Arabidopsis thaliana: one gene and its partners. The protein of the gene in region 2 interacts with the protein of the main gene of each other region in a pairwise test. Each region holds a gene or a part of one and is shown on either strand. Other genes may lie near its edges.

Evidence for each region.
Region 1: the proteins of GIP1 (region 2) and RBP1 interact in a two-hybrid assay, tested with the Arabidopsis thaliana proteins (one large-scale study listed by BioGRID).
Region 3: the proteins of GIP1 (region 2) and AT1G13730 interact in a two-hybrid assay, tested with the Arabidopsis thaliana proteins (one large-scale study listed by BioGRID).
Region 4: the proteins of GIP1 (region 2) and ACR6 interact in a two-hybrid assay, tested with the Arabidopsis thaliana proteins (one large-scale study listed by BioGRID).

The regions. Positions count from the first base shown.
Region 1 is NC_003070.9:21,723,861-21,731,001, reverse strand, and holds RBP1 (RNA-binding protein 1), read right to left. Parts: upstream 4,040-7,141; 5' UTR 3,941-4,039; exon of another isoform or gene 3,674-3,940; 5' UTR 3,629-3,673; coding exon 3,407-3,628; intron 3,324-3,406; coding exon 2,463-3,323; 3' UTR 2,200-2,462; downstream 1-2,199. Other genes in the region: AT1G58525 (GDSL-like lipase/acylhydrolase superfamily protein), read right to left, coding at 1-206, 309-533, 622-752, 846-1,089. UniProt on the Arabidopsis thaliana protein: RNA binding protein. Can also bind in vitro to single-stranded DNA.
Region 2 is NC_003074.8:4,248,669-4,257,125, reverse strand, and holds GIP1 (GBF-interacting protein 1), read left to right. Parts: upstream 1-2,847; 5' UTR 2,848-2,919; coding exon 2,920-3,097; intron 3,098-3,553; coding exon 3,554-3,597; intron 3,598-3,715; coding exon 3,716-3,782; intron 3,783-3,862; coding exon 3,863-3,989; intron 3,990-4,070; coding exon 4,071-4,324; intron 4,325-4,453; coding exon 4,454-4,694; intron 4,695-4,824; coding exon 4,825-4,987; intron 4,988-5,134; coding exon 5,135-5,542; intron 5,543-5,617; coding exon 5,618-5,839; 3' UTR 5,840-6,168; downstream 6,169-8,457. Other genes in the region: AT3G13224 (RNA-binding (RRM/RBD/RNP motifs) family protein), read right to left, coding at 505-1,044, 1,271-1,440, 1,535-1,640, 1,742-1,905, 2,041-2,081, 2,223-2,278; ABCG26 (ABC-2 type transporter family protein), read left to right, coding at 6,423-6,620, 6,700-6,989, 7,055-7,210, 7,343-7,526, 7,613-7,894, 7,966-8,250, 8,334-8,457. UniProt on the Arabidopsis thaliana protein: Plant specific protein that enhances G-box-binding factor (GBF) DNA binding activity. May function as a nuclear chaperone or lever and regulate the multimeric state of GBFs. May contribute to bZIP-mediated gene regulation.
Region 3 is NC_003070.9:4,706,825-4,715,027, reverse strand, and holds AT1G13730 (Nuclear transport factor 2 (NTF2) family protein with RNA binding (RRM-RBD-RNP motifs) domain-containing protein), read right to left. Parts: upstream 5,272-8,203; 5' UTR 4,943-5,271; intron 4,812-4,942; exon of another isoform or gene 4,622-4,811; intron 4,516-4,621; 5' UTR 4,510-4,515; coding exon 4,330-4,509; intron 4,228-4,329; coding exon 3,745-4,227; intron 3,661-3,744; coding exon 3,504-3,660; intron 3,411-3,503; coding exon 3,289-3,410; intron 3,203-3,288; coding exon 3,137-3,202; intron 3,051-3,136; coding exon 2,990-3,050; intron 2,914-2,989; coding exon 2,696-2,913; 3' UTR 2,356-2,695; downstream 1-2,355. Other genes in the region: AFP2 (ABI five binding protein 2), read right to left, coding at 1-285, 429-1,059.
Region 4 is NC_003074.8:326,992-335,053, forward strand, and holds ACR6 (ACT domain repeat 6), read left to right. Parts: upstream 1-3,107; coding exon 3,108-3,118; intron 3,119-3,145; exon of another isoform or gene 3,146-3,233; coding exon 3,234-3,314; intron 3,315-3,459; coding exon 3,460-3,505; intron 3,506-3,607; coding exon 3,608-3,790; intron 3,791-3,877; coding exon 3,878-4,468; coding exon of another isoform or gene 4,469-4,519; exon of another isoform or gene 4,520-4,533; coding exon 4,534-4,638; coding exon of another isoform or gene 4,639-4,650; exon of another isoform or gene 4,651-4,722; coding exon of another isoform or gene 4,723-4,748; coding exon 4,749-5,075; 3' UTR 5,076-5,131; coding exon of another isoform or gene 5,132-5,162; 3' UTR 5,163-5,520; coding exon of another isoform or gene 5,521-5,931; 3' UTR 5,932-6,071; downstream 6,072-8,062. Other genes in the region: WRKY45 (WRKY DNA-binding protein 45), read right to left, coding at 1-168; AT3G01980 (NAD(P)-binding Rossmann-fold superfamily protein), read right to left, coding at 756-1,034, 1,108-1,627, 1,751-1,842; ROXY1 (Thioredoxin superfamily protein), read right to left, coding at 5,521-5,931. UniProt on the Arabidopsis thaliana protein: May bind amino acids.

The DNA of each region.
Region 1 (7,141 bases), on a different chromosome or scaffold from region 2:
ATGTAAAGGATAACACCATCCAACTCTTTATCTAAAGAATCTAATGCTGGAGAAAGTCTTGCGTTGAATTGTTTTGCCATGTTGTTTAGAGGTTCATTACATCCTCTTGTAAAAAAACCTCCAAAAACTGTTCTTTGTAATGGAACACAACCAACGGGGACTGCACTAAACACTCCAATTTTTCGAGCTCCAAGCTTATGTAATTCCTAATTATCAGTTATAGATAAGATAAAATAGTTAGTGGATATAACAATATATTATTGATTAGTTTATGTATTATTATATATAACTACGAATAAAATACTTACTCTCACGAAATGGACAGCAGAGTCAGCCAAGAAATTGGCATAAGAGGTACGGTCATATCTATGAGCTTGAGCTAAATAAGTGTGAGCAAGGTCATTGCTACTAGACACCACAAGAAAGAAACTATGTTCCAAGATATCTTTGGCTTTTTCTTCTCCGAAATGCCTCTTGATCTTTGATATATATTCTTTGAAATATATGAGTTGATCCCATACCGATATCACTGACTACAAAAATAAACATAAATGTAACAAAAAGGAATCACCCATAAAAACAACTAACAGTCGTGATGGAAAAACATAAGATATATGGTACCATAATTTTTGCTGTCAATGGATCATAACCAGTTCCTCGAGATGCAAATGTTACACCTTTAAGAAGATCCTCAGGCTTCAAATATGAATTCATATATGCTGGTAATGTCTTAGCCAATCCCAACTTTTCCGCTGAAATATTTGATAACATATTTATCAGATTATATATATAAATAGATATGATTTATAATTTTGAAAAATATAAAAGTTAATTCAAATAGTTACCAATAAGATCAGAAGGAACTCTTCCATCAGAAAATCTTCCAGTGGCGTCGCCTCCAGGATAATCTTTACCATATGGAGGAAAGTTACATTTAAGAAGAGTCGGAAGATTATTGTTATTTCCTGTATCCATTATTGAATCTCCAAAAACTATTAGCGCTGGGATCGTTGCGTTTATCCCTTGCTTGACTGCATTCGCTTCAACAGCGATTAAAACCAAAGCAAGCAATAGAATTTGAAGCTTCATCTTCTTCTTTAGTTTGTAACTTTTCTGCTCGAGATTGGCTTGCGTTTTACATTCAAAGACATGTGCACATATATACATGGTTTCGATTTGTTGGACTTCTAAAAATAACTCTTTCAAACAACAGTTGTTAGGTTCTATATATGAAATCTCGAATTAGTTATTACTTTGATATTAGTTGGAACGATAACGAAATTTAACTGTTATTTCTTACCAATGACATGGTAACAAAATGGTCTATCACGTGAATATACTATGTTTGGCATTAACACCAATTTCATAAATATAACCGTAAATTAATGAAGACACAAAGAAAAGTATGAGTAATATGGTAGTGTAATTGAACATGATCTCTCAGAATATGGTAATATAAATTTAAATTTTCTCTTTTGTCAACAACACTCAACGGTAACTTAGGTGCTGCCAACCACACATTACGTTCGATTTCATGATTTGTTGCATTGCCTAACAAAAAGAAAAGTAAAGACATTTACATAAAAAAAAAATTGAAACATTTTATAATGGTTAATAGATTCTTGAAAACTAATTCTCCACAATTTGTCTCAAACAAATTAAATAAAGATTTTAACCATGACTTTGTATTTTTGCTAAATAATATTAACCATGACTTCTCTCACTTGGTTTTGTACCACATATGTCTTCATGGCATTGAGTTTCCCTCTTGTTATCGAAGCCCACAAATACAGAAAATAAATAAGTTTGAAAGCCCTTTGATTCTACCACACCACACACCATCTACGTCCAAAAGCTCTTTTACATAGTTCACTGGATTGTAACTTTCAATCCAAACTCCATCTATTTCACCCGCCATGATCGGGTCTGTCACTTCGAAAGTTCATCCCTGGACATCTGTGCGTTCAATCTTACAACAAAATCCCACAAACGCTTACCCGGTTTCTCCAACTTAAAGCTCAAGGATGCTCGATAGTTTCTCCCGTCTCAGATTTATTTTCTTTCTACAATATGGTATTCTTAGAGATTTCCAGATTCAGTTCCTATTTCTACAAAACTATTTCCTTTTTCTACTGTTTAATCGACAATCTATTTCTTTGTTTTCCTTGATGAATTTAAAACATCATTGCCAATTTAATCAACGAAACCACAAAATCAACAAAACCATAAAAGCAACAAAATGAACTAAATGAGTGTGATATATTACAAATGCAGTAATATATGATACATAAGTCTTGGGGTTAAAATCAAATACCTAAACAATATACAAGGTAACCAAACCAACCCAACACATTTACCAAAGAGTTAATGAAGAAAGATGAGGAACCTAAAAAACCATTTAAAAGAGTCCAAAGAATTTCACTACCCTTGTGAGCCTATTTGCATTTATCATTCTGCAACTGTCATATATATGTACCATTCTGCAATGGTATTCCCATGTTACCTCCATTCATTCTCTGATGGGCTTGACTGTGGACATCAAGCTTCAAATCTACAAACTGATGTATTAGCGCACCAGCTGCATCCCCCGTTACAGGCCATGCTAGAGGATTGTACCCGGAAATGTTCGTACCCGAAAGATCAAACCCGTTCATGTATTGGATATAACCAAGATTGTTGGTGGGAGGAGGAGTAGGATGAGGAGGAGCACAGTAAAAACCGGTGGGTTGCATAATCGGATTGTTCCATGAAACGTTAGCCACTTGTGCTGTGAATTGGTAACCATAAGGATATTGAACGGCTTGGACATTGTGATGATAACCAAAGACAGGAGGAGGAAACTGTAAAACCATCCCATATCCGTTTTGCTCAGGGACATAAGGTGTTGCTTGAAAGCTGCTGTAGGAAGGAGGAATATTAACAGCATTACCGTTATTGCTCTGGATTCCTTCTTTAGGTATTGCCCGTTTCACTTCCACGCGTTTATCACTCAACTCATGGAAATTACTCTGCATAACAACCTCAACAGAGTCCTCCGAATCATAAGTAACAAACCCAAAACCCCTTGGCCTGTTAGTCACACCGTCATGCATCACAACTACATCAGTAGTCCTACCAAACCTCTCAAAGTAACTCTTAAACTCTTCCTCAGTCGTGTTAGACGACAAACCCCCAACAAATATCTTCTTAGTCCTACTGGTCACACCATTACTCGACATCTCACGCAAACCACCATTCATCTGTTGCACTTTTCTCTCCAAAAACTGCATGCTAAACGGCTGTTGGTATAGTTCATGTTTCCTAATCGCCTTTCTCACATCAACCTAATACAAACACACACATAATCAATCCACAGAGTATACACAAAACCCAATTGACACAAGCATAAAAAGGCGGTAACACTTACGGGTTTACCGAGAATGAAGTGAGTGTCTCTAAGAGCTTTAACAACATCACAATCATTAGCAAAGCGAACAAACCCAAAACCTCTAGGTTTTCCAGTGACTTTCTCTTTAGCTACAACAGCTTCCAACACAGCTCCATATCTGCTAAAATACTGCTTCAGAGCTTCTTCACTTGTCTCTTTCGCAATACCACCAACAAATAACTTGTACCGATCATAATCCATATCCTCAAATACCCTAATTTTGCAGGTTTGTCTGAGATTTTTGCCCTAATTTCGGAATAGATAATAAAAAAAATCAGAATTATGACATCGAGAACACTATTAACAGTTGAAAATCAAAAACCCCTAAAATTAAACAAAAACCCTAATTTGTAAAATTTGGGATTCTAAATTAAGCAATGATTATGGAGAAAAGAAGAAAAATGGAACAAGAAATTGAGAAATTGTGACAAAACCCCTAATTTTTGGGAAGCGAACTGTAGAAACTAAAACCCTAGCAAGAAAAAAATTTCATGGCGAAGAGGAAAAGTTTACCAGATAGGAGAGAGAACAGTAGATTGATTTGACACGGCACGAGGGAGAAGACGAAGAGAGTTAAAAGTTAAAAACTCTTTTTAGCTTCTTCAGTTTAACTTTTTTTTTTTAATGTCGAGAGATAATGATGAATGTAACTAATGGGCTTTAAAAAAGCCTTTGTGATAAAGATTGTAAGCCCAAATCTTATCGTATTGTTTGTTGATGTTCTGTTTAATGTTATCCTCGTTTTTTTTTTTTGGTTTAAAAAAATGTTATCCTCGTTGGAAGAGAGAATATTTACATTTTGTTTAAATATTTTATTTTGTAAAGATTAGCTTGAGGTTTTGCATAATTTGGATGAGTATATTATAAATAAAAAAATTCATAGAAGTAATAACTACATTTTTTTTTAAAAACTTTTTTTTTATAAAATTGGATTATGTTTTATTATTTATGGTTGTTTATTTATAAAGCCCAATTTATGTGTGTTTTTAAAGAACTTAATATTTTTTTTTCTCTAAAACAAATGCAATAAACTACACCAAATCTTTTCACAAAAAGTTTTGTATTTGAAATCTAGCTACAGAATACGTCCTATTAGGCTATAACATATTGGATGGGTCGTTGGATTATAAAATTGAAAAAATAATTTAACTAAAAAAAAGAGTTATAAGTATATGAAGTCAACTATTATCAAAATAGTATTATGGGGTTAAAAAATTATATGAATTTTCATTAAGACAATATCCACTTATGAAAAGAAAAAAAAATAACAACCCGAATAAATTTGTGTAACGGCTAATTTTATTGTGACAATGTAAACGAGTGATTTTATTGTTTAAAAAACAAAAAAAATCATTATTTCTCATGTTTTTAAATATTGTTATAATTGAGTATATCTTGAAAAAAAAGAAAGCAAAAAAATCTTAACATATTTGACGTAATTATCAAAAACAAAGATTGTGTACTCATGTGCTTCGGCTTTGGTCTAAATGATGACATCAAGTTTGTTAATATTAAATTTTATTTACTAATTTTCAAATCTGAGAAATTCATCCTAACCAAACTAGATTATGTTTTTATTCAATATGTATACTTCTTAAACCTAAGAATCCAACAAAATAGAAAGATCCCAACTGAAATCATACCTATAATTAAAACTGCTACAATTTGTTTGATGGATAACTAGTTTAAAGAAGGTTCAAAAGCAAAACGGACGTACCACAAATAATTTACAATTCATGCATATGAAGAGAACAAGCAGCTTTAAAAGAAAGTAAGAAAAGAAAATTAATTTGGATAACTAGTCCTCCATTTGCATCATCGATTTTAATCATTTGCTTCACTTAGTCTATTGTCTTTTTTTTTTTGAGATTTTTGAGCTTTTTCATTTTTCATGGGTCAAAATTGTTTTCAAATGGTATTTTGTTTTGATTTTGTGATCTGCCTTGTACAGTAAATACACTGCTTATTTGCTTTGGTTGTGATGTTTTTTTTTAGCTCAATACTTCTAATTTTTGAAATAAGTCAGAAGATTATGTATTTTGTTTTGTCAACATGAACTTTTAGGTTAATACAGTAGATAGCTTAATTCATCTGCACTTATTTTATGGTTATAATTGTTAACATTATGTGTTATTCTTTTATATCTAAAATACTAAATAATGTGTATAATTATTTTAATCGGTATAATATTCTATAAATTAGCAAAATTTAATTTCATATAATTTGTATAAATTTGGTAAAATTATTTATATAAAATAGGGTGTTTGTAATATAAATATTTGATACGTATGACTTAAACTTCTTTCACCATTTAAAATTTTTTTGGACTGTAAGAACCGGTTGATATGCACTTGTTTCGCCAAAATCACATGATTTGTATTGTTCGACTTGATCCTATTAAACTGTTTGATTCGCTCTGCCTAATCTATTTTCTCTTATGAGCCAATATCTAACATTATCTAAATATTGTAAAAATTTATAGTACATATTTGAAAATCATATGAAATTTCAATACATGAGATAAAATGACAGAAGCGATGGATGTGTGTATACCTATAGAGACGCAGATTACGGACGATAGACTGTCACAAGGGCCACTACTAGCCACTAACCAATTTGCCATGTGAACATGAAATTTCACATCCTAAGGGACCAATTGGTCCATTTCCATTATTACCATTCAATCTACAAACATACACATAAATACATCTGTATATAGTAGAGTCTCACATGCATACACGTACATGCGTTCATGTGTAATCACATTATATGGTTTTAAAATTTATTCATCTACAAACATATGCATAAATACATATATCTTGAGTCCCACATGCATACAACGTACATATGCATTATACGTATCCAAGGAAAAATATCTTTTTAGCGAACCTCATAGTTTTTGGTGGACAATGACAATTATTGGAATATTTAATCTTAAAAGTTGAATGGAACAATATTAATTCTTTTAAGAAATTGTTAAGGATCGAATAAAAATGGTAATAAATTGGTTTCACTCTTTTGTCAAATTCATCAATTACTAGTGGGCACACTTAGTAAGATTGAGTGGACACACTCAAGATTGGATACATCGGTTTCTCTAATCAAGAATACCTATTTATCCAATTTTATGTTGTTGTTGGGCTTAAGCTATGTTCTAATATATATTGCTCAAAAACACTTGCGTATATGATTAGGTTTCTGATCTTAGAAGAGGAGGAGAAGACTGGCACCTCTACTCTCAAAGAAATACCAATTATTTAACGTGCATATCACGTGTATTCAAACTTTATGGGTTAGGAACTTAGGATCAATATATAAGAATGCATGTCAGCATGTGTAAGTTGGAATCAGGTTGCCACATAACGACATCATCAATTGCACTAACCACTAGGCTACAAGTCGTGTCGGTTAGTATTGCCATTTTTTCTGAATAATCGTTATGTGCTAAAAATATGCTCGATTTTGCATGTATATATAGAAATGATCTTTAATTTACATCTCTTTCTTTACTATAAGAAAAGATAATAATAACGTGTTAGAAATAGGAATCTAACATATTTTGGAATTAAGATGTGTGAGTTTTGGTCCTTGTGCGTTTAAAATTTTGAATTGGAAAATAAATGGACTACATGATTAGTTGTCGAAAATCGAAACCAACCATAGACTGATCCTCGAGTTTTGTTCTTAACTGAATCTTAAACACATGCGGAACAA
Region 2 (8,457 bases):
CAGCTGACAAAAATATGCCTACTTACACATGCACTAACTGCCGTCAAACCTTTGTTCAGCACAACAAAATGTACAGAGATACAAGAGACCACATAAAGCATTCAACTTGAGCTCTAAAGAATAGATGAGTGCACATTTTGCAGAGCTTCTTAAGCTAATTCGTATGATTGTGAAAACTAAGCTAAGCGAGTAATTGATCATCTAACAAGACTACCAAATGATAAATCATTCTTGTGCCAGTGAGAAACAAACTCCAAGCCCAAATATGCTAAAGTCTACATAACACAATCTAAGTTATAGAGATAAGACAACACTTAAATTAGGTAAACACACAACTAAAAGATGACTAATAAAAGCTTTTTGATGCTCTTCCTGTCCTTAGCAACCCTTCCTGATGTTGGCGCTACATGATAACTCTAGAATGCACCTAGAGCAATTGGAACAATCTAGAGGAACCTGTGAGAGAAGCTTCTATAGCTCCAACTGATTGCTATTACCTCGACCCTACCTTGCATACGGATGGTATCGACTACTGCTACTATAACCCCTCCCATATGGACCACCTGCTCCTTCATAACTGCCACCTGGGCCACCAGATTCATATGCACCGCCGTAACCAGGCCCACCATATCCCCCATAGCCTTCCCCTCCTCCACGAGGATATCCCAAATAGGCTCCTTCTCCTCCACGGCCATATCCCTCACCACCAAACCCACTCCCATAGGGTCCAAAACGACTAGAATAGCCAAGGGGTGGTTCATTCCGGTAACCTCCTAAACTACCACCCCCATAATTATTATAACCTCCTCCAAATTCAGGGCCTACACTGCCACGACCATACCCATATCCCCCAGCATATCTACTAGCAGGACCTCCATGTGACCTAATGGGACCTGGAGGATGACCATACCCTCCATCAAAACCTCCGTAAGGTCCACCATAACTTGCATAACTATCGTTAGAAGAACGACCTCTAGGGTGACTACCGTAAGAAGGAGGTGAACGGTTTAGAGATTTCTTTGGTTCAGCTTTCTTGATCTCCACCTACAACAAAGCAACTTAATTAACCTAGCTATGCTAAGGACCCAAACTATAGCAGGGATTTCCTATCTTACTGTGACAAGCTCCTTACATTTGGTAAGCTAGTGGGTAGAATTCTAACTAAGTTAAACGTGTATAATGAAAGGAACAAGGAGAAAATATCAAATTGAAACCAAGATAAATATGTCATCATGAACCAAAATTCTAATCCCCATTTGTACAAGCTTACCTGAGTGTCTGCCATATCGATCATGTTTCCTTTGGACAATAATTCATCTACGACTTCTTCGCTATCAAAAATTACAAAACCAAAACCTCTGGACCTGTTTGTTTCATGGTCTCGAATAACCTGGTGCTCCACCACGTTCCCATACTTGGCAAAGAAGTCCTTAAGTTCATCTGATCAACAGAAAAAGAAACCAACTTCAATAAGGACAGGAAACCAGCATTCTCATGGAAAGCAAAAAAATATCATGCCAAGAGGGAGGTCTACCTTCTGTAACCGTTGAGGGTATACCACCAACGAAAATCTTCTTTGTTTTGATGTCCTTTGACTGATTGCCACCAGCACCTTTCGGAATAGTCCTTTTGATCTCAACCTGTTCCATCAAAACAAGGAAAAAAGTATTGATCAAGACCCAACACCCTACTAAAAATGAACACTATAAGCTAGTGAAGGAAGAAAAGAGAAGTGGCCGACCTGTTTGCCATTGATGACATGAGTATCTTCGATAACTTTGTCAACAACAGAAGGGTCAGCGAAGGTGATGAAACCGAAACCCCTAGGTTGTCCAGTATGTCGATCTCGCATAATGACAGAATCTGTAATCTCCCCGTACTTGCCAAAGTGCTTATTGAACACAGCTGCAATCAAAACCAAAGTGAGCAAGTAGAATCAACATTCCAACAGGTCTAACATCAGAAACACACACAAGAATCCATAACATAACAAAACTTAGAAACGCAATTTCTAGAACAAAACAAGAGGAAGAAACTTACTATTAGTCGTGTCTTTGTGCAATCCTCCAATGAATATTTTCCTGCAACACAAAAATTCCAAGCAAAACATAAATTAAACCTTAACCAACAATATAAAAAGAGTTACAAAGCCAACAGATTATGAGATATTTCCCTTAATCCTGTGGAATCAAACATGCAAGAGGTAGGAGAAGTAAACGTACCCAGGACTAGCGCCATCGCCGGACTGGAAATTATCATTACGAGATCTGGAACCCATCGCAGCTCCTAAATTCAGTTTTCGATTGAGCTAAAGGATCGAGAGAGACACCGAAAGCTAGGGTTTTGATAAGATCTGATGTCTCTTCATCTAATTAGAGGAGATAGCTAAATCGTGTAATATATATATATTCTTAAATTTGGACATCGACTTGTGGAAACAAAACAAAGTTAATATTTTTTTACACAGCTGTCTATTTTTCCTATTCTTGTAAAAAGACAAAAAAAAAAAAAGTAAATTGTTGACAGTGGGATTTGAACCCACGCCCTTTCGGACCAGAACCTTAATCTGGCGCCTTAGACCAACTCGGCCATATCAACTTTGTTGTCTCTCCTTCCATTAAACGCGTACAAAACAATCAAATAATGAGGAGGAAATCGATAAACAGTGACGTCAGCGTATAAATATACGTAGAGAGAGACATTAAGCGGTAGATTGTACGGAAATAAATAATAGTACTCAATCAAATAATGAGGAGGAAATTGATAAACAGTGACGTCAGCGTATAAATATACGTAGAGAGAGACATTAAGCGGTAGATTGTACGGAAATAAATAATAGTACTATATACGAAGTCTTTATGTTCAACCCATATTTCCTCTCTCCTCCTCCCTCCGCTTCTCTTTCTCTCTGTAACCAACATGAGCAGGATCAGCGGCGATGGCGGCTCTAGGGTTTCTATTCCGGCTGATCTGCTTCAAACCATTCAAAACATCAGAGAGGTTACCGGTAAACAACATTCCGACGAGGATATCTTCTCTGTCTTTAAGGAGTGTTTCAGTGATCCACATGAGACCACTCAGAAGCTTCTCTATTTAGGTTGTTTTACTGAGAAAGCTTCAGCATTTGTTTTTGTTTTAGTGTTTTTACTTCCTTTTTGTTGTATTGAGCGTGTGCTTCTCCTAGGGTTTTGTTTTGGATTTTGCTATTTAATGCCCTTTGTCGATTTTGGTCTTGTCTTAGAATCTGTGTGTTATGCTTAGAATCTTATGTTTTGTTTATTTAGATTTCTAATTGGTATAATATGTCTGGGGATGTTCAAATAAGGAATCTTTTTTACTGAAATGGAATATGTAGAATTTGGGTTCATGACTAAGAAACTGTCGTTTTAAATCTTTACCAATCTAGCTGGAATGTGGAAAGGGAATTTCTGTTTAGCTTTGATTGAGATTGGGCATCTGGGTTAAGTTTTGATTCTGTCTACTGTTTCAAGATCAACATAATCATGTACTTTGATAGCAGACATGTACTCATATATTATTACTGATCTTTCAGATACATTTCATGAGGTGAGAAGCAAACGGGAGAGAAAGAAAGAGGTAGCTTTCCTATGTTCTTTTGAATCCTTACTTTGCATTTTAAGTGTGGTCTTGAGTTCTCTGTTTAGCTTACATCATCTCGTTTCTCTTATGCCTTTATGTGTATTACCTGTTGTAGAATTTAGTGCCAAATACACAAGGAAGGGGCCGGACTGGACGGAAGAACTTTGCTTCAAGTTACACAGGTCATTGTGGTTTATGTTCTTTTACTTCTAAACTTGTGTTCTATATTTCCTTCCTTGATTCAAGCTCTTTGTTGATTCAGATGCCAGTAATGGAAGAAGTGCAGCTTTTAAAAAGCAGAGTGGAGCTAATCACATAATAGGAGGTTCTGGAACTGCTTCGTCTGCTCCTAACAATGCAAGAAACGACACAAAACCTTCTTCCATAATGTATCCATACTTTTAATTCTGTCTATGTCTTTAATTCCCTCTTTGGATATGGGCTTCCTAACGCATTCTATTCTTTTTCAGGGCCCCGAACCCTATAAGTCTTCCAAGTGGAATCAGTAACCAGAAAATTCAAGATGCTATCATATCCCCTGTGGACAAGGTGGACACAGAGGAACAGCCTCTCTCCAAGGCTACTTCTTCTTCTAAGGATGTTGTTGAGCCGGATAAGTCTAAAGAAAGTAGTGTATCAGTGGCTGTATCAGATTCTGTTGTAGAAAACGATACTCAATATGCTGTAGTTGAAACTTTTCAGATCCCACAACAGTCCGAGCGAGGTATAAATTATACCATATAATTACTTGCCTGCTAATGTTGCTTTAAGTGCATTCTGTATTCTGTTAAGTTGTTCCTGAGTTTGATTACAGCCTCTTATGTGATTCGACGTATGGCTTTATTTGGAACAGTCATTAAGAGTGAGGTTGCAGCCAGTAAATGCAAGAATGAGTCGCTTCTCAAGTCGGATGTTGGTGAACGGCCGCACGTAACATTTCCTGTCCACATTCAGGTTGCCAAAATGCTGGAAAATGGTCTGACATTTGGGAGCTTCGATTCTAATTTTGTGAGAGAGGCATCTTCTGACAAGTTTACTATTGGGTGTGATGACTCCAATATTGAGTCTTCTCATGGGACAGCCGCATCAGCTAGGTTGGTGACTAATAGCTACTTTGAGTAAATCTTACAGTGTTACTTGCTTCAATATTCTCATGAATTGATCTAGAGTCTCAGATGAATGAGTTTCTGATATGAATACCTTTATATGAAACTTGGTTTGCAGGAAAGATATATCAACTTTTTCTCAGGATAAGAATCATGAGATTTCAAATTCAGCAGCTCAGAACGAGTTAACATTGCAGCCAGATCAAACTGTTCTCCCTGAAGAAGGTTCAGAAGGAGATAAAGTAAAGAACGAGGTTTTACCAATCACAGACACTCATCAGGTTGGTTATTATCAAGAAGCCCCACACAATGTCTTTTTAGTCTTGTGCATTCATTGTCAGCATCAGGCCAACCGCGTGGTTTTTCTAGCCAGGAAATATGAACACAATGCTTAATCACTGTCTTTTATATTTTGTTGATAATTGCAGGCTGCAAAGTGTGATGCTCCACCTATCTCCTATCCTGATCAGTATTCCTTAGCAGCCGCTCAACAGGCAATGCACCTTTATAGGCAACAATACTCTCTTAACTATTTCCCTTATGGTCCATATTTCCCCCCTTATTATATGCCGCAACCATACATTCACCAGTACTTGAGCCCAAATGGGTTCCAACAACAGTCTTACTTACCACCCGGAGATGATGCTCCAGCACCTCCAGGGGCTGAACTACCTCTCACTCACATCAAACCCGGAAGCGACATTGGAAACTCTCCACCTACCACGATTCCATTCTCATATACTTCATACGCCTTCAACCACATCCCATCAGCAGCCACCATAAATGCTACTCACAAGGAAGAAAAGAAGGAAAACATGTACACAACTGGACCACTGGTTAGTTTTTCTCTGACTCTCCCCACTGTCATTGCATGTTATGCTATAGTTTTTTAACACGGCTCCATGTAGCAGAGTCTAGCCAATCTGCAGGCCAGTCCCATGTACAACTTATCCCTTCAAGGTCAGCCTATAGCTTTCCCAACCATGCAGGCTGGGATCCGTGGGTTATATCAACAAACACAGCCAATACTGGCGCCTCTATCTATATCTGCGAGGACTGAACCCATAGGACCATCGCACGTAACTAATCAGCAACCTCAAGCTGCACGAACAAATCTGGGAAACAACTACTAGGTCAAGGAGTATTACTAGAAAGATGCATATTCAGATTGGTACGAGATGTTTAAGTCTGGAATTTTGAGTGATTTTGTGTACATACTTAGGATACATCACCCCCCAAGAAGAAGATTAGTATTTGGCAAGGGGACAAGAGAATTGGTGCCTTTTGTTTTTTCAATTTTTGTGAGTGCCACAAACCGCTTTGATCTCGTTTATCTGTAATTCTTCCGAATCTTACAATATAATCAAGTGATCAGTTTATATGAGCAAGTGGACATTTATTCTCGTACGTTGTGATCGTCAATGAGCAAGCCAAGTCGATAAATGTAAATGATTTTAGTACCATATAAAGTATATTGAAATTAATATAGTTTCATTTGCTCCTTGTTCAAGTCAACAAATGCATTCAATTTAATACAAAAACATTGAAAGAATGTGGTCTACCAAACTAACACCCTGATAAACAGAGAGAAAAAGAGAACACAAAAAGCAAGAAAGTTTCAGGTTTGACACAGTTGATCCACACACTTCTTCCGTTATATAACACAAGCCTACATTCATAACAATTTTCTTGTGGAACAAGAATAAGAAAGATAACATGGAGATCAGAAGATCAACAGAAGAAGTTGAAGAGAATCATGTAATGCAGATTACAGGAAGCAATGGCATAGTTCACAACATGGAGTTCATGCCACAAGCTTACCTCAGAAACCAATACTCATCCGAGATTGACATTGATGAAGAGTTCGTTTCCACTTATCCTCTCGAAGATGCCCCTCTTCCCATCTTTCTCAAGGTTCAACTTTCTCTTTTGCTTTCGATTTTCCTTCATTAAGACAAAGCTTATTGGTTTCGCCTCTTTTATTTATATGCAGTTTGAAGATGTGGAGTATAAGGTGAGAAACAGTCATGCTAGCTCAGCAAACCTGGTGAAAACAATGGTGTCAAAGGTGGTAACACATACAAATCCGGATCCAGATGGATACAAGCACATTTTGAAAGGCATAACAGGAAGCACAGGTCCTGGCGAAATCCTTGCGCTAATGGGGCCTTCGGGTAGTGGCAAAACAACTCTTCTGAAGATAATGGGAGGAAGATTGACAGATAATGTCAAGGGGAAGCTTACCTATAATGACATTCCTTACAGTCCATCTGTTAAGAGGAGGTGAGTTGGATATTTTCTCCTACCTGAATCATACTATTATGTGCTGATCTTTCCCTGTTTTCCAGAATTGGCTTTGTGACGCAAGACGATGTTCTGTTGCCACAACTTACTGTGGAAGAGACCTTGGCATTTGCTGCGTTTTTAAGACTTCCAAGTAGCATGAGCAAGGAACAAAAATACGCCAAAATAGAGATGATCATCAAAGAGCTCGGCCTCGAAAGGTACACTTCTTGAATATTTCCAGCTTATAGTGAGACCTAGCTCGTAGACTTTCTTCAAGCATGTTCTTGGTGATGTCCAGACACATTTCTTGTAAACACTAAACTAAGATTTATTGAAAAACACAATGAAAGATGCCGTCGGACAAGAGTTGGAGGAGGTTTTGTCAAGGGAATATCAGGTGGAGAAAGAAAAAGAGCAAGTATAGCTTATGAGATTCTCGTAGATCCTTCTCTGTTGCTTCTAGACGAGCCAACTTCTGGACTTGACTCCACTTCTGCCACCAAACTTCTTCATATTCTTCAAGGAGTAGCTAAGGTATCAGTTTCTAGTTACATGCAAATAGATTACTAACAAAGTTCTTGAAAGATACAGTAGAATAAGATTCAGTTTGTCTTTTTCAGGCAGGCAGGACCGTTATAACGACAATTCACCAACCATCAAGCAGAATGTTTCACATGTTTGACAAGCTCTTACTGATATCAGAAGGACACCCTGCCTTTTACGGCAAAGCCAGAGAATCTATGGAGTATTTCTCATCTTTGAGAATCTTACCTGAGATTGCAATGAACCCAGCAGAGTTCTTGCTAGACTTGGCAACCGGACAAGTTTCAGACATTAGTCTACCCGACGAACTATTGGCTGCCAAAACTGCACAGCCTGATTCTGAGGAAGTTTTACTCAAAGTAAGGATCACATTAAGTCATAGCCTATTCTACTGTTCATGGGACTCAATTCTAGTGTTCATGGTTTGCAGTACTTGAAACAAAGGTACAAGACAGACTTGGAGCCAAAAGAGAAGGAAGAAAATCATAGAAATAGAAAGGCCCCAGAGCATCTTCAAATAGCAATCCAAGTGAAGAAGGACTGGACTCTTTCATGGTGGGATCAGTTCTTGATTCTTTCAAGAAGAACATTCAGAGAGCGGCGTAGAGATTACTTTGATAAGCTAAGGCTAGTTCAATCACTTGGTGTGGCCGTCGTGTTGGGTCTTCTCTGGTGGAAGTCAAAGACAGATACAGAGGCTCACCTTAGAGACCAAGTAACGAAACTACATATATATATTTTGTGACTATACCAAGGTTATAAGCCTCCTATATATTTATCTGGTAAGCTTGTGTGCAGGTTGGTTTGATGTTCTATATCTGCATCTTCTGGACATCGTCATCACTCTTTGGAGCAGTATACGTGTTCCCCTTCGAGAAGATCTACCTGGTGAAAGAAAGAAAAGCAGAAATGTACAGACTTA
Region 3 (8,203 bases), on a different chromosome or scaffold from region 2:
CCTCTCCTTTTCCATACTTGTACAGAATCCCATCAACCCGTCTTCCGTTTGGCCCGTCCCCTTTAGTAAACACACAAGGCATATCAACCAAACCAGTAGACGTAGCCATCCCTTTTCCTTTCCTATCCACCGAGTCTTCACTTCTCACTCTTTTTTCATTCTCATTCTCATTCACTTTGTTGGCTCTAGTCACACTCGGTCTCTCTGTTCCCTGGCTTCCGCTGTTCGATGAACATCCTGCCACGATTTTCGGGCTTCTTTCATCATTGCAGCTGTTTGATGATCCTACAACACATAGACTCAGATCACTCTTCCACTGAATACATTCACTCATTCTACAATTCCACAGGTTCAATGACAAATATCCAATTTTACATTTTAGTGTTACTAATCTTGTGTCTAAAAACCAACAATGTATTGAAATCTACCTTGCTGATTTTTGTTGTCTAGCTCCGACAAGCTCGATGAACTACCTCCTCCCGTTGCTCCTCCTCCATCGGAATCAACACCACAGACTTGTCTATTAGAAGAAACCAAATGTCTCTGCAAGAAGCCACTTTTACTCGCAGTAACCCATCTCTCATTCTCAAACGACACCGTTTGGTCATCAGAATTCCCAACTCTGAAACTCTGTTTCTCACATCTCCTTCTCTTAGCTTCCATTCTCCTAAGCGATTGCATCTCTTTCCTTTTCCTCCATTCCTCTTCCATCTCCGCCGGTAACGACGTCGTTCTCTCTAAACCCACCGTGTAATTCTCAGGCTCAGCCACAGTTGAATCGTTGAATGGTACAGTGTCCAAAACAGAAGAAGATCGTTTCAGCTTCCTCGGAGTCTTGTCTACTCCGAATCTACCACCTAAAGACAAACCAAGATTGAGCTCAATCGTACTCTCATCATCGCAGTTTGTTTCTCCGCCGTGAAAGACTCTTCCACCGCCGTTTTCAGACATGAAACCTCGTAACAGATCTCTCGGGTATTTATCTATGTCTAGAGAAAGATTTGTCGTAACCGTCATTTCTCTGTTCCATGCCCTTTGTTGTCTGCTTGCTTCACCCATAGATTCCGAAACAATAGAAAGAAAGAAAAAAAAAGTTTTTTGTTTTGTTTCTTCTTTGTTATAAGATGATGAAGAAGAATGAAAAACTCTGAATTTCACATCCGATCAAAAATCCAAAATTGTCATCATGAATTAAACAGTAAATCTCGCAAATTCATATCAAAGTAAAAAAAAAAAAAAAACTCGCCGGAGTTAATACCAGAGACGGCGAAGAAGACGAAGAGGTTATAATTGAAAGTGAAGAGCAGAGACAAAGAAGAAGACCCTTTTGGACATTAGAGGAAAAGAGAGAGAAGAAGAAAGAAAGAAAGAAAGAGAGACAGGCCTTGACTGAGAGGAGGCAAGTGGCCGCCGAGAGAGCTGCCTGAACGACACGTGGCCGGTGGATTACGTCGGCGTTCCATAGTGCTGCTTCAAGAAACGTGTCGTAAAGTGACTGAGTTATCCAGTGTCACGACACGTGTCTCCCAAGTAAAAAGATCCGTTTTCTCCTTTTTCCCCTTTTCTTTTTAATTTTTTTGCACAAGTTTTTGTAAAAGAGAAAAAAAAAAATCTCAAACTCGAAAAAAAAAAATATTACCTCAAAAATTAACAAAATCAGACATAAACGTATATAGAGAGTAAGAAAATGACAGACCTGATTAGTGATTACTTATGGTATCGTTGATTTATAATTTTACAATCTCTTGTAATCTTATTTATATTGGGAGAGTTAACAACAACATAATTTGAATATGATAAATCTAGCGACTCGACAACGTCACTCACGTGGGTTAGACCAAAGGACCCACGAAGCAAGCAAGTTGCTTGTGAAAAAGTGAAGGGAGAATAAAAACACTTCCATGTAAAAGTAATTGAATACTACTACTACACAAAGGCAATCATCAATAAACCATAGTATATAAACTAAAAGACTTAACAATGATAATATAAAGTAATTAACAAGGTAAAGTTTGATTATTGGCGACTAATCGTTTGATGGAGAAGAGTTTAGATTAGCATAATGAGCAATATAACTTAGTGAAAAAGTCTGATTATTATTGATTCAGTGACAGTTAGGTTTGAGAATGAAATCTATAAATCGAAAAGAAGATTTTTAGAATCCTTGGTGGGTCACTTTGTTGAGTCAAGTGGGGACGTCAAGATCTTTACACCATAAAAACCAAAAATGCTACGTGTTCGTCACCTGTTGGTTTGTGTAATAATGCAAACTTAGAGAATACTACAATACGTCGTCGTTTGAAGACCAACACCATTCACATCAAGCCCATAAGTTTAAGGGTTCGTTGCCCATTTGTTTTTTTCACTAGAAAATATTTTATTCGGTTTGGTCCTAAAAGATGTCTCAATCAATTGACAACGAACTTCCGATTAATTTTGGTTATGTGTAAACCGGACCAAATGAAGATGATTCAGAATGGAAGGTAAAAGTAATCATCAAATTTTTGTTATCCCAAACAAAATCTCAAAGAAGGGATTATCACCTAAGAGATAAACCTACTCCAAAAGAACTTCTAATCTCTCTCTCTCCCTCTCACTATCTCTTCCTATAAAACCTCAATTTCAAATGAACAACAATAACACAACAGAGTTTAACAAATGACTTCAAACTTGTTTAGCCTCTGGATTGAGTATTTTAACGGCTAGCTTCTACCGTACCGTTCTGATGAACTTTGCCATCACCATTGTGAGCCTCACCATTGCGTGATTCACCCCGTCTCTCAGATCCATTTCTTCCATAGCCTCGACCTCCATTGGAACCGTTGCCTCGAGGCCTATACCCATCGTTTCTGTAACCGTTGTCGTTCCTATAACCTCCGTTTCGCATTGCGGGTCTTCCATTATCGTTGTTGCCTGCAACGGAACCAATGGTTTCAGTTTTTCTACCCTGAAGTTGGAGACATTAGTACTAAACTTTACTTTGACTTACCTCGTTTCTCTTCTATTGAAACTCTTCGGTTTCCGATTCTGATGGCTGATTCTTTGTGAGCCTAGAGTTGTGTAGTAGAACATCAAAAGAAGAATCCAGTTTATAACCAAAAAGTTTGTAAGAAATATCGTTGATGTTGAAACATACCTGGAGGACCAATTTCACAGCTTCAGCAGATGCGAATGTCACAAAGCCAAAACAGTTTCCCTTGAGCTGCAAAAGAAAAACTTAATGAGGATTTCAAAAAAATTGGCTGTGAAACAAGTTTCTTCAAAAGATCCATTCAATAAACAACTCACCCTGTAACTTCTCACTTGGATACCATCTTTCGTAATAGCTCCAAAACCTTTGAATGTTTCATTTAGTTGCTCTGGTGTAGCGTCCATGAGCAAGTTGGCAACAAATATCGTATAACCCTCAGCTGATACACGAAAAATGGTAAAATCATATTAAGACATAGAAAAAGGTGAAAGAAAATCAGTTTTTCTGAAATGTTAAAACATTGATTTAAAACCTTGTTGGTCGATTGTTGCAGCAGAAGAGTGTTCAGAAACAGGAGCAGGAGCTTTGGATTCACGAGCAGCACTCGGCTTTGTAACAGGCTTAGACTTAGGCTTTGCAGGAGAAGCTTTGGCATTGAATGTAGCACCGTTTTGAGCCAAATCTTGGACCTAAGGGTAAGTTGCAAAATATTTAGATTATATGAGCAAAGATTAGGCTATAGAATAGGATTTCACACAAAAAAGAGGACTCACAATATGTGCAAATGATTTCTTGGGAGCATCAACACCATTGCTTTTATCGTTCACAACATTATCCTCCTGTGTTTTGGGATGTCCATTTGCTACAGCTCTTTCTGGTTTCTTCACTGTATTTTCGGTTGTCTGTTTCGCCTCGGGTTGTTGGGTAGGGATAGTAACCGGCTCTGCAACTTCATCTACCTGCTCTGTTGGTTGGACCACTTGAGGAATAACCTCCTCGACTTCTTTCTTGTTAGCTTCTGGTTCAACAATCTCATCAGCAACATACCTAAAGACATCGTTGAGAACGAAATAGCTTCCATTCAGCGGCACAAGGAAAAACGATTGAGAAAATCTCATTCTTTGCCCCTCTTTCACGGTTAGTAAACCTGTGACTAGAGTCACAACTCCATTCATGTAAGATGCTTGGGAATCAGCAGTCAAAATCTGAATCTTTGAGATTTCGTAATCGAAGGACATAATCTGCTCATTGATAGCCTGCAAAACAAGATTAAACAACTCTTAAAAACGAAACTTTGCTTCCAATAACAAGATTTACATATGTTTGAACACAAAAAGCAACTCCATCCAATAGCTTACTTTCAAGGATTTGACAGAAACCATCTCTCCATCAGAACCAGGACGGCCTAAAACACTATCGTCGAGATAAAACTGATGCACTTGCGATGGTGACTTATACAAGAGGTTGTAGTATTTCTCAACAAAAGAATTGCCAATAGTGTTTGGGTCCACCACTGGAGCATTTGATTCAAGTGCCATCTCTACCTAGATTCAAGAGATTATCACTAAGGTCAGATATATAATCAAACAAATGTCTCGAAATTAAAACATACTCATATGGATGAACCACAAGTAGTGATTTTAGTCTCACATTGCCATTCAAATCAACACTAAGGAATCCACAAATCTCATTAGATCTCTTATAGCTTTAACAAGAGATTTATTTGGTGACTTAAGCGACTTGCAAGTTGAGAATCTATAAATTGAATATACGTTAGAACTACATAGATCTCTATACAGCTACTAGATATTGGAAGAATGTGAAAAGATTAAGCTTTTACAGAGGATTCCAACAGAAAGGAAAAGACTTTTAAGACAGAACATGAAACCCAAATTGAAGAACTACAAATATCAATCAAACAATTGATAACAGTAAGAAAATTGGTGTATGAACTATGAACGAAAGCGATACCTTGGGAGAAGATGAGAAGAGAAGCAGAATCAAAAATCTCAGATCAGTTCGAAGAGAAGACAGAGTAAGACACAGGGAGAGGGAGGGATGAATATATTTGTATTATAATATATATAATGGTTAGTTCTAGGGTTTTACTTAGAAATCTCCGACGAGGAGAAATTGGGATTGTTGTAGCCTTGTATTGTAGGGCTTTCTTCAAGATTTTTACACTAAAATTATACTACTATTATTATTTATGGTAAGGAGGGAAGTTTTCCTTGAATTGTTTGTTTTTGATGATTATGTATATTGTTGAGTTATGGAAAGTTGTGGCTAAGAAGAATTGTATTCTAATTTCATAAAAAAGAAAGAGATATAAAAAAGAGTGAGTAAAAGAAGCCCCCGGCGAGGATCGAACTCGCGGCCTTTCGCTTACGAAGCGAACGCAATACCACTATGCTACGGAGGCCTTTTTGGAATGCTTGTTCAGTATAACATTATATAATAAAACAACAAATTATGACTTTTTATTTAAGGCTCATTGCAATAAAATATATACTTCATAAGACTCAAACTTGTGTATATTATTTAATCGTGAATTTGAGATCAAAATTTGTTATAGAATGATTTGTTTTGAAATAAAACAGATTAAGCCCCACAAAAAACATATTTTCTTCCTACGAAGCTTGATGTGCTGATTTAAGAGTTCCCCTATTATCGGCCCAATAAAGAACTAGTGGATATGCATGGTTCGAGGAACCCATGAATCGTTTTTTTTTTTTTTTAAATGTCTGCTTGCCCTCTGAGCCACCAAATACACAACTAAGCATAGATAACAAATTTGCTTACAAAAATCTTTAATTAAGAAGTTAGAGTGTATTATTTTATAAAAATGGAGCCAAAGCAATTAAGGTGAGATAAGTTTGAACAGTACATACTTCTACCATATATCAAGAAATGTTTCACGAAACTTTTCTGAGTATAATTTTATCTCTAAGATAAAGCTATATGATTATAAATCAAAATGTTAAGTTGAAAAATGTTTGAACAACGTATACGAAGTTGTATTATTTTGGTTTATTTTAATGTTATAGTCTAGATTTTTATTTCCTTAAATTTGTGTCTCCTTTTTATTTCTTGAAAATGTATGCTCATGCATGTTTTTGATTACTTGGAAAATGTAATTATATGTAAAGTCTTTTTTAACCTCACAGTTAATGGAAAGCATCAACCTTTGGATATAAAATATAAAAAAAGAAATTCTATGAAACAAAAAAAATATCATCAATCGACACATGCATGTGCATATATTTATAGATATTTTTTTTTTCGGTGCATATATTTATAGATCCATATCAATCTTGAGGGAAAAAAAAGATCCATATCCAAATCCAAATGGAATATCAGTGTGCAATTTTCGTTAGGAAAATATTTGATTTAATAAAAAAAGAAATTCCCAATCCATATCCTTAGCCATATACCAAACAAGGGGAAGAGTTGATGACAAGAGAATGAGATCACTCTAGTTATGTTTGAACCGAACTAGAAGTCTTTTTGCTAGTTGAGAGTGTAACTACATGAAGTCTAGTTGTTGAGACATTGACATGATTGGTCTCTCAATTTCCACTTCCTTTCTTATTTGTTCAAACATATCTATTCTTATGCTTTACTGTAAAAAATCTATTATAGACCTACAAACAAAACAGTTGTCTATAGTGAAAATACTCCTGATGTTATGTCTTTTTCAATAAAAAAAAATATATATATAACATGCTCTTTTAACTAAGTCTGTCAGAGTTCAGAGTTCCCAAAAGTCATAAATGTAGTTCTTTACATAAGTATTTAATTATTGGTCAAAGTCTATCAACTACTTCTATTAGTTTCAAAAACTTTATCAACTTTTTTTATTAGTTAAAATACACATAAATTAAATGTTTATTATTATTAATGCAATATTTCCTATTATAAATATCTAAAATGATAAAGATAAATCTAAGAAAACTAAAATATGATAATATATAATTTGAAATTATGTCTATTTATATTTGAATGATATTTATACAAAAACAAATCTCAAATTAAATTGTGAAACTATCAAACAAATATGAGTAATAGGTTATAAGAGGGATAATTGTCATACATTGAAAAACAAATTGTATTCATTAAGATCTATTTCAACATGAAGTATGATAGATTCAAACTAAAAAAAAATGTTACATAATTTCTCGAACTATTTAACGAAAATGTTGGTGTAGTACAAATAACTTAAAAATTCATGTAGTATCATAGAGGTGGTTATGATGTTACAAACAAATCCGTAATATTCATTTGATATAATGTATGTTCAATCAAAACACTCAAACATGATAAATTTCTCATAAACTAATTCATAATGTAGTTGTATTCATACTTTATGTTACATGAATTCATTTGATTAAAAATATTTCAGGCTAATGTATTTTAAAAAGGAGTCATAACTACATTTCTATGTATTATTTAGAAAATATAGTTGTAATTGTGTATATGTAGGTATGATTTTTGAGATGAAATAAATGAATACTTTATGTTTTGATTTTGCTACTTCTTGTTATCACTTTTCTGAAACTATTTCACACTACTTGTTTAAACTATTTTATGCTTATATTTGTAGAAGAGAGAGTTGTGATTGTATTTCTATGTTGTTATTGTTCAAAGTCTACCAAAATACTTCAATTCGTTTAAAAACTTTTATCAGATATTTGTTTTCGGCGACAAAAAAATATGATACACTATTTTGCTATATAATGCTACAATTCTAATTAAACTACTTAACGTTATAAACTTTAAACTACTTTACGCTTTCCTTTCAAAAACAGAATCGTAATCAAACATTTCAAAATAAAAATAGGTTGACTAGTTTGTAAAAACTATTAAATATGATTACTCCATGGTCGGGGTCGTTTTTTATTATATATTCTCTAATCAAACTATTTCACACTGCATAATGTATTTGCTTAAAATTATTTCATGCTCTTCTTATAAAATAAATATCGTAATTTCTATGAATTTATCAGTGAAAGTCTACTAGGTATTTCAACTACTTTCAAAATTATTATCAAATATTTATTATTTGGTGACAAATTAATATCATGAATTGATTTTGCTATATATTACTACAAGTCTACAACTCTAATCAACCTATTTTAAGCTATAAAACTACATCTAATTAAACTACGCAATGCTTTAAAAAAAAAAATTGTAACTGCACATTTCTATGTAGTCATGTATTTTAATAGACTA
Region 4 (8,062 bases), 3.9 Mb from region 2:
CTGGAACGCGTACCTCGCTTCTCTCTCTTTCTTCTTCTTCTTACTCCTTGGCTTCTCTTCGGATGATGTTGTCGGCTGAGCAGAGTTGTCGACCCCATGAAACTCTGTCAAGCGAGGATCAACCGATGATGAACATGGAAACAACACATCACACCTCCTATCCTCCATTTCTTAACTCCCTCTGCGTTTATGGTGGGAACTTGAAAAAAGCCAAGGAGGGGAGGGAGAGAAAGAGAGACGTACACGGTAGCGAAGATGCCAGAGAAAGTGATATATATTGAAAATATGGCTACATTAGCGGATCCATCACAGAAAAAGAGTTTTGTGGAAACAAAAAGGTGTGGCGGCTACATCATTCTGATTTATATTATTATATATGCAACTCCTTCAAATTTTGGTTCAATGGATTCAAATTTCAAACATATTTCTTGGTCAAGAATCAATATGCATCTAGATCTCTGAGGTAATCATTCTTTTCTTATTTGATTTACAATTTGGATTAGCAAGGTTTCCAAGATAATATCCAATATCACGTGTATTTGAGGTTCACCTACCAAACTTGATTGAATTCAATAAACAATGAGCTCGAATGATGTTGAGATTGTTGACTATTTTGGCTCTTTGCTTTCTTCTATACTTGTCAAAAGTATATAATCATTGATTCCATGGATTATTCATCCCTCCATAGTTATTCAAACTTGATTCATATTCACTTTTTACACACAACATAGAATTATAATAATACTAGGCATTGATCACATGTAGGATTTGAGACGGGGTCGCGTAAGGGACTGCGCTCCATCCACCAAGACAGTGGTGCCTGTCATGAAGCGTGAGCCATCGCTGATCAAGTAGATAACAGTGGAGTAGAGGTCTGTGTCCGGGTTGAGCCACTGGCCGAGGGGTGCAGCGTCCTTGACCAGCTTCTGCGCTCGGTCTCTTCCCACAGAAGCTGTATACTCATCATCCAGATGCAGCCCTCTAGAGATCATGTTGACCCGTATCTTGTGCTTCCCGAGACTCATGGCTGATGCCTGAAACCCAATCATCAACAAACATATTCAAGTTACGAACGCGATGTGTCTAATTAGGAGCTAGGATGCATACCCGGACGAGCTGGTGAATAGCGGCAGAAGTTGAAGCGTAGGCATCAGCGCCAGGGTAAAGCGCCCTCTCTCCGCTGGCGATAGTGGCCATGAAGACAATGGAGCCTCCTGATCCATGGTCCTTCATCCTTGTGGCTACAGCCTTCAAGAGAAACCATGGAGCGGTGAGATTGATCTTTGTGATTCTGTGGAACTCATCTTGAGAGACTTGAAGAATGTCCTGCACCTTTCCTGCAAGAAAGAAAGATTGTTGAATAAAGGAATGATCAACACACAAGAGCATCAAAGGCAGGGTAGTGAAAAACAAGAAGCAAATTAAACCTTGGTAGGTATAAGAGTTGAGAAAAGCATCGAAATGGCCGGAAAGTTCCCATGCCTTTTGGACAGCGGCATGAAAAGCAACTTCAGAGTCAGATTCCATGTCGAGTGCTATAACATCGGCAGGGAAGGCTCCCTCAATGGAATCTCTAATCTTGTCTACAATGCTCCTTAGGGAACCCTCATTTCCCATCATTACCAACCTAGCAACAGTACATTGCATTTTTTGAAGGTTAACTATAGACACCAAAGTCAACCACAACACAAATCGGGGCTAGAAGAAGAAACACAGGATAGGAGGAAAGAAGACAAAATGAGAGACTCACTTGCAACCGTGTTTGGCTAGATGGAAAGCGATGTTTCGGGACACCTCGTCGCCGTTGGATGTCATCAACACTCTCTTCGCCGGATTTTCCATTTTGCCAAAGTAACTCTTTATAAAACAATTCAGCAGATTCAACAAGACTTAAGGGAGGGAGGGAGTGAGATTGATTCGATCGCCAATTCTAAATAACTATAAAGAGTGGCTGCAAAAGCTCTTACCGGAACTGTGTCTGTGTGTTACCAAAACGGCGAAACAAAGCAAATAATTAATGCCTAACCACATGATCCACCACGTTCTGTTGTTACCTTCTTTAATTTGTAGATAGAAGAAGATGGTGATTGATAACGGAGATGTATTTTTTTCTTTAATAAAAAGCCCACTTCAAGGCCCAGATCCATTTCTGTACTTTGTAGGTTTTCCAACTTTCCCGGCGCCGGAAGCAAGCGTAAGTTATCACTGTTCCCCAACCAAATTCCATCATATCCTATTATCCTACTACTAATGGATCCATCTCCAAGATTCCTAATTTCACTTTGCTACAAACTTATTTCGTGTTTTTGGTTTATAATTAATAGCCGTTGTTGGTTATGAATATGTAAGCATAAAAGGCATTTGGGAGCTCCAGACAGACAATGAATCATCAACATCAGGTACTCTGTCTTTCGTTTATGTTTCTGTTCCATTCTTTTGAAATATATAGAGGAGGAACTTGTTATTAGCTAGTCCATTGATCAACACACAAAGAGTGAGAATGAAAGCAATTCCTCCAACCAAAAGGATGCTTTCCCTTATTGATTTAGTTGGACCAATATATAAAGAGAACAAAGGAGGGTGTTGGTAGGTAACAAAAGATTCTAGGTGGTGGGAGGGTAGTGGATTTTTGAAAACCGTGTGTTGACTTAATGAAAGAGGTGTAGAGTAATGGGATTGTGAGAGTGTTAAATAATAAAAGACTAGGATACGAAATCATTGTGACATGTCAATTTTTCAAGTGGGTGGTGGAATCCGCAACAAAATATAAAATAAGAAAAATGCTTTGCTTGCTTGCTTGCTCTACTTTGCCTTCTTTTTGCAACCAACATGACGTTATGCTGGAAAGGAATCAAATTGTTACTTGGTCATGCACCTGTGAACGTTACGGAGAGGTCTACCTCAAGATAACGAATGATCTATTATACTAGTAAATACCACATCTTGCTTGAGAAGGAGAATATAATCCCCTTTATGATCATCAAATTGACCCCAAATCTTCACCCGACTTTTGGTAGTATTCGAACAATTATAACAGAATCTAAAAGTTGCTGTGCCCGTGCCACGTCATCTCTAAGAATCTTTAGTGGCACGTGCTCGATCAACTAATGAAAACAAGGTTCGGTTCCGGTGGCCTACCATTTTTATCCTCCTTCAACTTCCCTCTCCCTCTCTCTTTTAGGAATTTTCCTCAGAAATTGGAGGACTCACACTCTTCTGGGTTTCTGCTGCAGCCAAATCACCAAGGAGATACATACTACAACCATGGATGATGATGAATATGCCAAGCTCATCAGGAGAATGAATCCTCCCAGGTTTTTCTCTTTCTCTCCATACTCTTTTATTGTTTTCTAGGTCCTCTGTTTCTCCATGCTCCGTTTGTGAGCCTCTATACCCTTGTAAAGATTCCAGCTGCTAAAACATTCATCTTTATTTATGTATGTTTCATGGTGGATACAGAGTTGTAATAGACAACAACGCAAGCGACGATGCCACTGTTATTCAGGTAAATAAATCTGTCTCTTCAAATTGTTCAAGTGGTTCTGTACCAAACAAAGAGATTTTGAGAAAACAGAGTTCCCTGTTTGTTTGTGGTGCTAAATAAAAGGTTGATAGTGTGAACAAACATGGGACTCTATTGGAAGTAGTACAAGTGCTCACTGATATGAATCTTGTGATCAAGAAAGCTTACATCTCTTCCGATGGAGGTTGGTTCATGGACGTTTTCAAAGTCATCGACCAAGATGGCAATAAGATCAGAGACACTCAAGTCCTTGACTATATCCAAAAGGTTTCTAATGTATTTCATCACTTTTTTTCTTTCATTTTCAACAGGTTTTTTTCTTTGTGTAAAACGTTTGTTGAATTCATTGCGCAGAGGATAGAGAGCAACGCTGGGTGGTTCATTCCACCTTTGAGAAGCTCAGTTGGTGTAATGCCCACTGACGAATACACATCCATTGAGCTCGCTGGAACTGACAGACCCGGTCTCTTGTCTGAAGTATCTGCTGTTCTCACAGACCTTCACTGCAACGTTGTGAACGCTGAGATATGGACTCACAACACCAGAGCTGCAGCGGTTATTCATGTCACGGACAATTCAACTCATTCTGCCATTACTGACCCGATTCGCCTTTCCACCATCAAGGAGCTGCTGTGCAATGTAGTGAGGACAAACAGCGGCTCAAGAGCTGCGAAAACAGTCTTCTCTTGTTCTGATACACACAGGGAGAGACGGTTGCATCAGATCATGTTTGATGATAGGGACTACGAGGGAGTCAAAAGAGCAAGGACATCGGCGTCAAGGCCCAGTGTCACACTAATGAACATTGAGAAGGATTATACCGTTGTTACCATGAGGTCCAAAGATAGACCAAAGCTTGTGTTTGACGTAGTCTGTACTTTGACTGATATGCAGTATGTGGTGTTCCATGGCATGGTCAGCACAGAACCAGTGGAGGCTTATCAGGTAACTACTCAACGGCCGTCTGTTGGGATCTCTCTTCTAACAATAATATGAGTGTTTTGCTGCAGGAATTTTACATCCGTCATGTGGATGGACTTCCCATAAACTCAGAAGCAGAGCAAGAACGTGTCATACAATGTCTGGAAGCAGCCATTGAGAGGAGAGCATCGGAGGTAACCAATTAGGAATGTGAAAATTCTCTGTCTTGGCTCAAATTACATTCTGTTCTGCATCGATTTCTGATATACTCAAGACAGATTGTGCATATGAAACATACTTTCAGGGTTTAGAGCTGGAATTATCAGCAGAAGACCGAGTTGGTCTTCTCTCAGACATAACCAGAACATTCCGAGAGAACAGCTTAACCATTGTGAGAGCAGAGATATCAACGCGAGAGGGTAAGGCTAAAGACACGTTCTACGTTACAGACGTGACTGGAAACCCGGTTGAATCAAAAATCGTGGAGTCAATCAGACAACAGATAGGAGTAAGCAAGCTGAAGGTGAAGAAGAAGGAGAAGGAGCATTGCTCTGTTCTTGGTACAAGCAGGCCTTCGCACGAAACAACTACAATGGGGTATTTGCTAAGTAACATCTTCAAACCCAAGTAGCTTCAAGCTTCACCTATCTCACTCATAGTCATAGAGTGTGTGTGTGCTTTGTATAGGTTAGACAGAGTAGGGCATCATTTAAGCTGATCGTAGCGATCCCCTCTCAACAAGTCCCTTGTGTGTAAATTTGTGTGAACAAAATAACAGGAACTGCCTTTGAATAGATACGGCGTCAGTTAATACCGTTGATTAATGGATCCAGGGGACATTAATAAAGATGCAAAGTGTTTACTATTATGATTTAATGAGAGCATTCGAAAGATCAATAAGAGATGAAGAAGAGGAAGACAGAGAAAGGTGAGCTTAAAACAACTCTCTCTCTAATTACAAACTATAATCTAAAACCTGTCATTACAGCCATTGACTAGTTTCCTAATCTTCCTCCACCACATTCTCTTACAAGAAAACTTCAAATAGAAAAGAAAAAAGAAAGCAGAGGAAGGGATCAGAGCCAGAGAGCGCCGGCGTCTTTGAGAAGAGGAACGAGAGAGCCGTTTATGTGAGAAGCCATGACTCTGTCCATAGCTCCAACCAGTTTACCGCCGATGAAGACGACCGGGAGAGACCCTGGAGAAGAGGAGCCGGAGCAGCCGAGGAGACGAATGAGGGCTCGCTGGATGTCGCCGCCGTAGGGGTGGAGGTCGAGCTCGTGGACGGCGGGGCTGACGCCCATTCCTCTGAAGAGACCCTTCACGGCGTGGCACATGCAGCACGTGCTCACGCTGAAGATCACCACCGCGCTCTCAGAAGCCAGGGACTCTATACGAAGCAGACCAGTGTCAGCCACCATCCCCAAACCGCCGAATCCTAAGCTGCTCATCTTGTATGATCCCCACGATTCTGTCTGGTATTGCATCTTTGATATCTCTTCTCTTTCTCTTGTTACACTTTTGTTTGGAAAGAAACTAGATTAAACACGAATAAGAGAGAAAGAGGGATTGGCTAAAGTTTGTTGGTGAGAAGAGAGTGAGAGCCATGCAGAGTATTTATAGAGGCCTACTACACCTCTGAGTCTAACTCTGTTTTCCTCTAATTATTAGTATTATTGTTTCTTTCTTTATTATTTGTGTATAATAACATGACCTCTATTTACTTCTCCATGAAAAAAAGAAAAAAAGTAACAAAACATATGAATTAAAACCGATGACATCAAGATAGTGATTGCTGTTGAAAACAAACACCGATAATAGTTATCGGAATAATTTCATTTTTTTGTAAAAAAAAAAAAAAAGGCAAGGAGAGTTGAAGAACAGGCTTTTATCAGAAGGGAGTTGTTGGTAATAGACGGCTCCGTCTGTCCTTCTTGTCGGCTCTTACCGCTCTCACCATTAATTTTCTTACCACTTAATTCTCTCTTTTTCTTTCTTTGTATTTTCAGATACATGATCATAAAGTAAGAAACCATAATTTCCACGTAGATAAGCTCCCTCAATCTGTACAATATGGATTTTGGCAGGGTTTTTCTTTTATTCCATTCTACTCTGTAAAATATATAATTCCATACGACCGAGTAATCATCAATCCAGCAAATGTGTAATCATCACATCATAATTTGTTAAGGAGTCAGAATCTTATGTTTCTTATCCAGATTAATAGCATCCTCCTTATATATATAGAAAAAGAATTATGACTCGAGAATTATGATGTGTACATATTTTATAAGAACAGCACCCATGAATTAATTTGGATGGGTTTAATTATAACAATATTAAAATTTGAACAATTTTATATAGAAAAAGCCTTTTTTTTTTTTCTTCAAAGTTTACAAAGTTTGTAGTTTGTGACATGCTTTTGGCTTCCACGCTTGTGTCCTTTATACACGAAATGCCTTTTTTGTGTGTCTCAGGTTTGAGCTCCACAATAAATTAAATCTTAAAATGAGATTTAAAACGAAGGATTGATGGAAGAGAAGATTTTATATGTATATTGAATATAGTAAGAGAAGTCCGTACAGTTATGCTCCCTCTAGCTGAAAAAGAAAGTTACTTCTTTTAGTGTTTAAACTCATGTATTTCTTTTCTGGAAAAAAATCTTTGCATGAGAAATCGTAAAAGATAAATAATCTTGTCGGATTGTGGTTGTCGGATCGCTTTACCTTTGATTTTTGATTTTTTTTTTAAAAATCTAGTTTTCCTGACAGAAGACTTACGTAACACTTGTCATACAATGTTTGATCTGTTCAACCGATTCTCCGATATTAACCCTTTCGAGTAGCGTATGTACATGCTTTTCAATAAGGGTATTTTGAACATTTCTGAAGTTCGTATTCAACGCCTGAAACTTGAAACTTTGAACATTCCTTATTCCTTTGTATATTGATCTAGCTCTTTTCTGTTTTTGGCTTTTTTTTTTATTCTTCAAAGTTTAAATATGTATATACAAGGCTAACATTATACAAAACTTTAAAAATCTTTCGTTTTATGATTATCAATAAAAAGATGATTTTCTTCTTGTAAAAAAAAACATTTTAGAGAGAAAAAGAAAAAAAAAAAAGAGATTTTGATCGATCGGACGGGTAGGGTTAGATGGCAGGAAACGAGAGCCCTCTGGCCTATATTAATTAGTACAACAAAATATATAAATTGATATCAAAATAAAAAATAGAAAGAATACGAGCGTGATGCTATCTTTTCAGCTTTATCTGGTCTTTGCCATTTATAAATATCTGTGTGTATGTCTCTCTTTGCACAATATTAATGTTGTGCTTTGTTATAAATATATCTTCATTTCATATTTTTATATTTTCAAATTTCGTTTTTTTTTTACCTCTTACGGTGAAACAAAGCCGATAGGGAGATGAAAGGTGGGGTTTGAACTAAACCCTAAAATAAGCTTTAGAGAGTTCTATCGTCGAAGTATAATGGTCCGAGTCTGATTCCAACACCTGACCAAGATATGTCCCTACGGGTTATAAAACAATGTATATATTATATATATACAAACAGCTGGCTCATATATATCTGTAATACACTGATACAGAGGAAGGT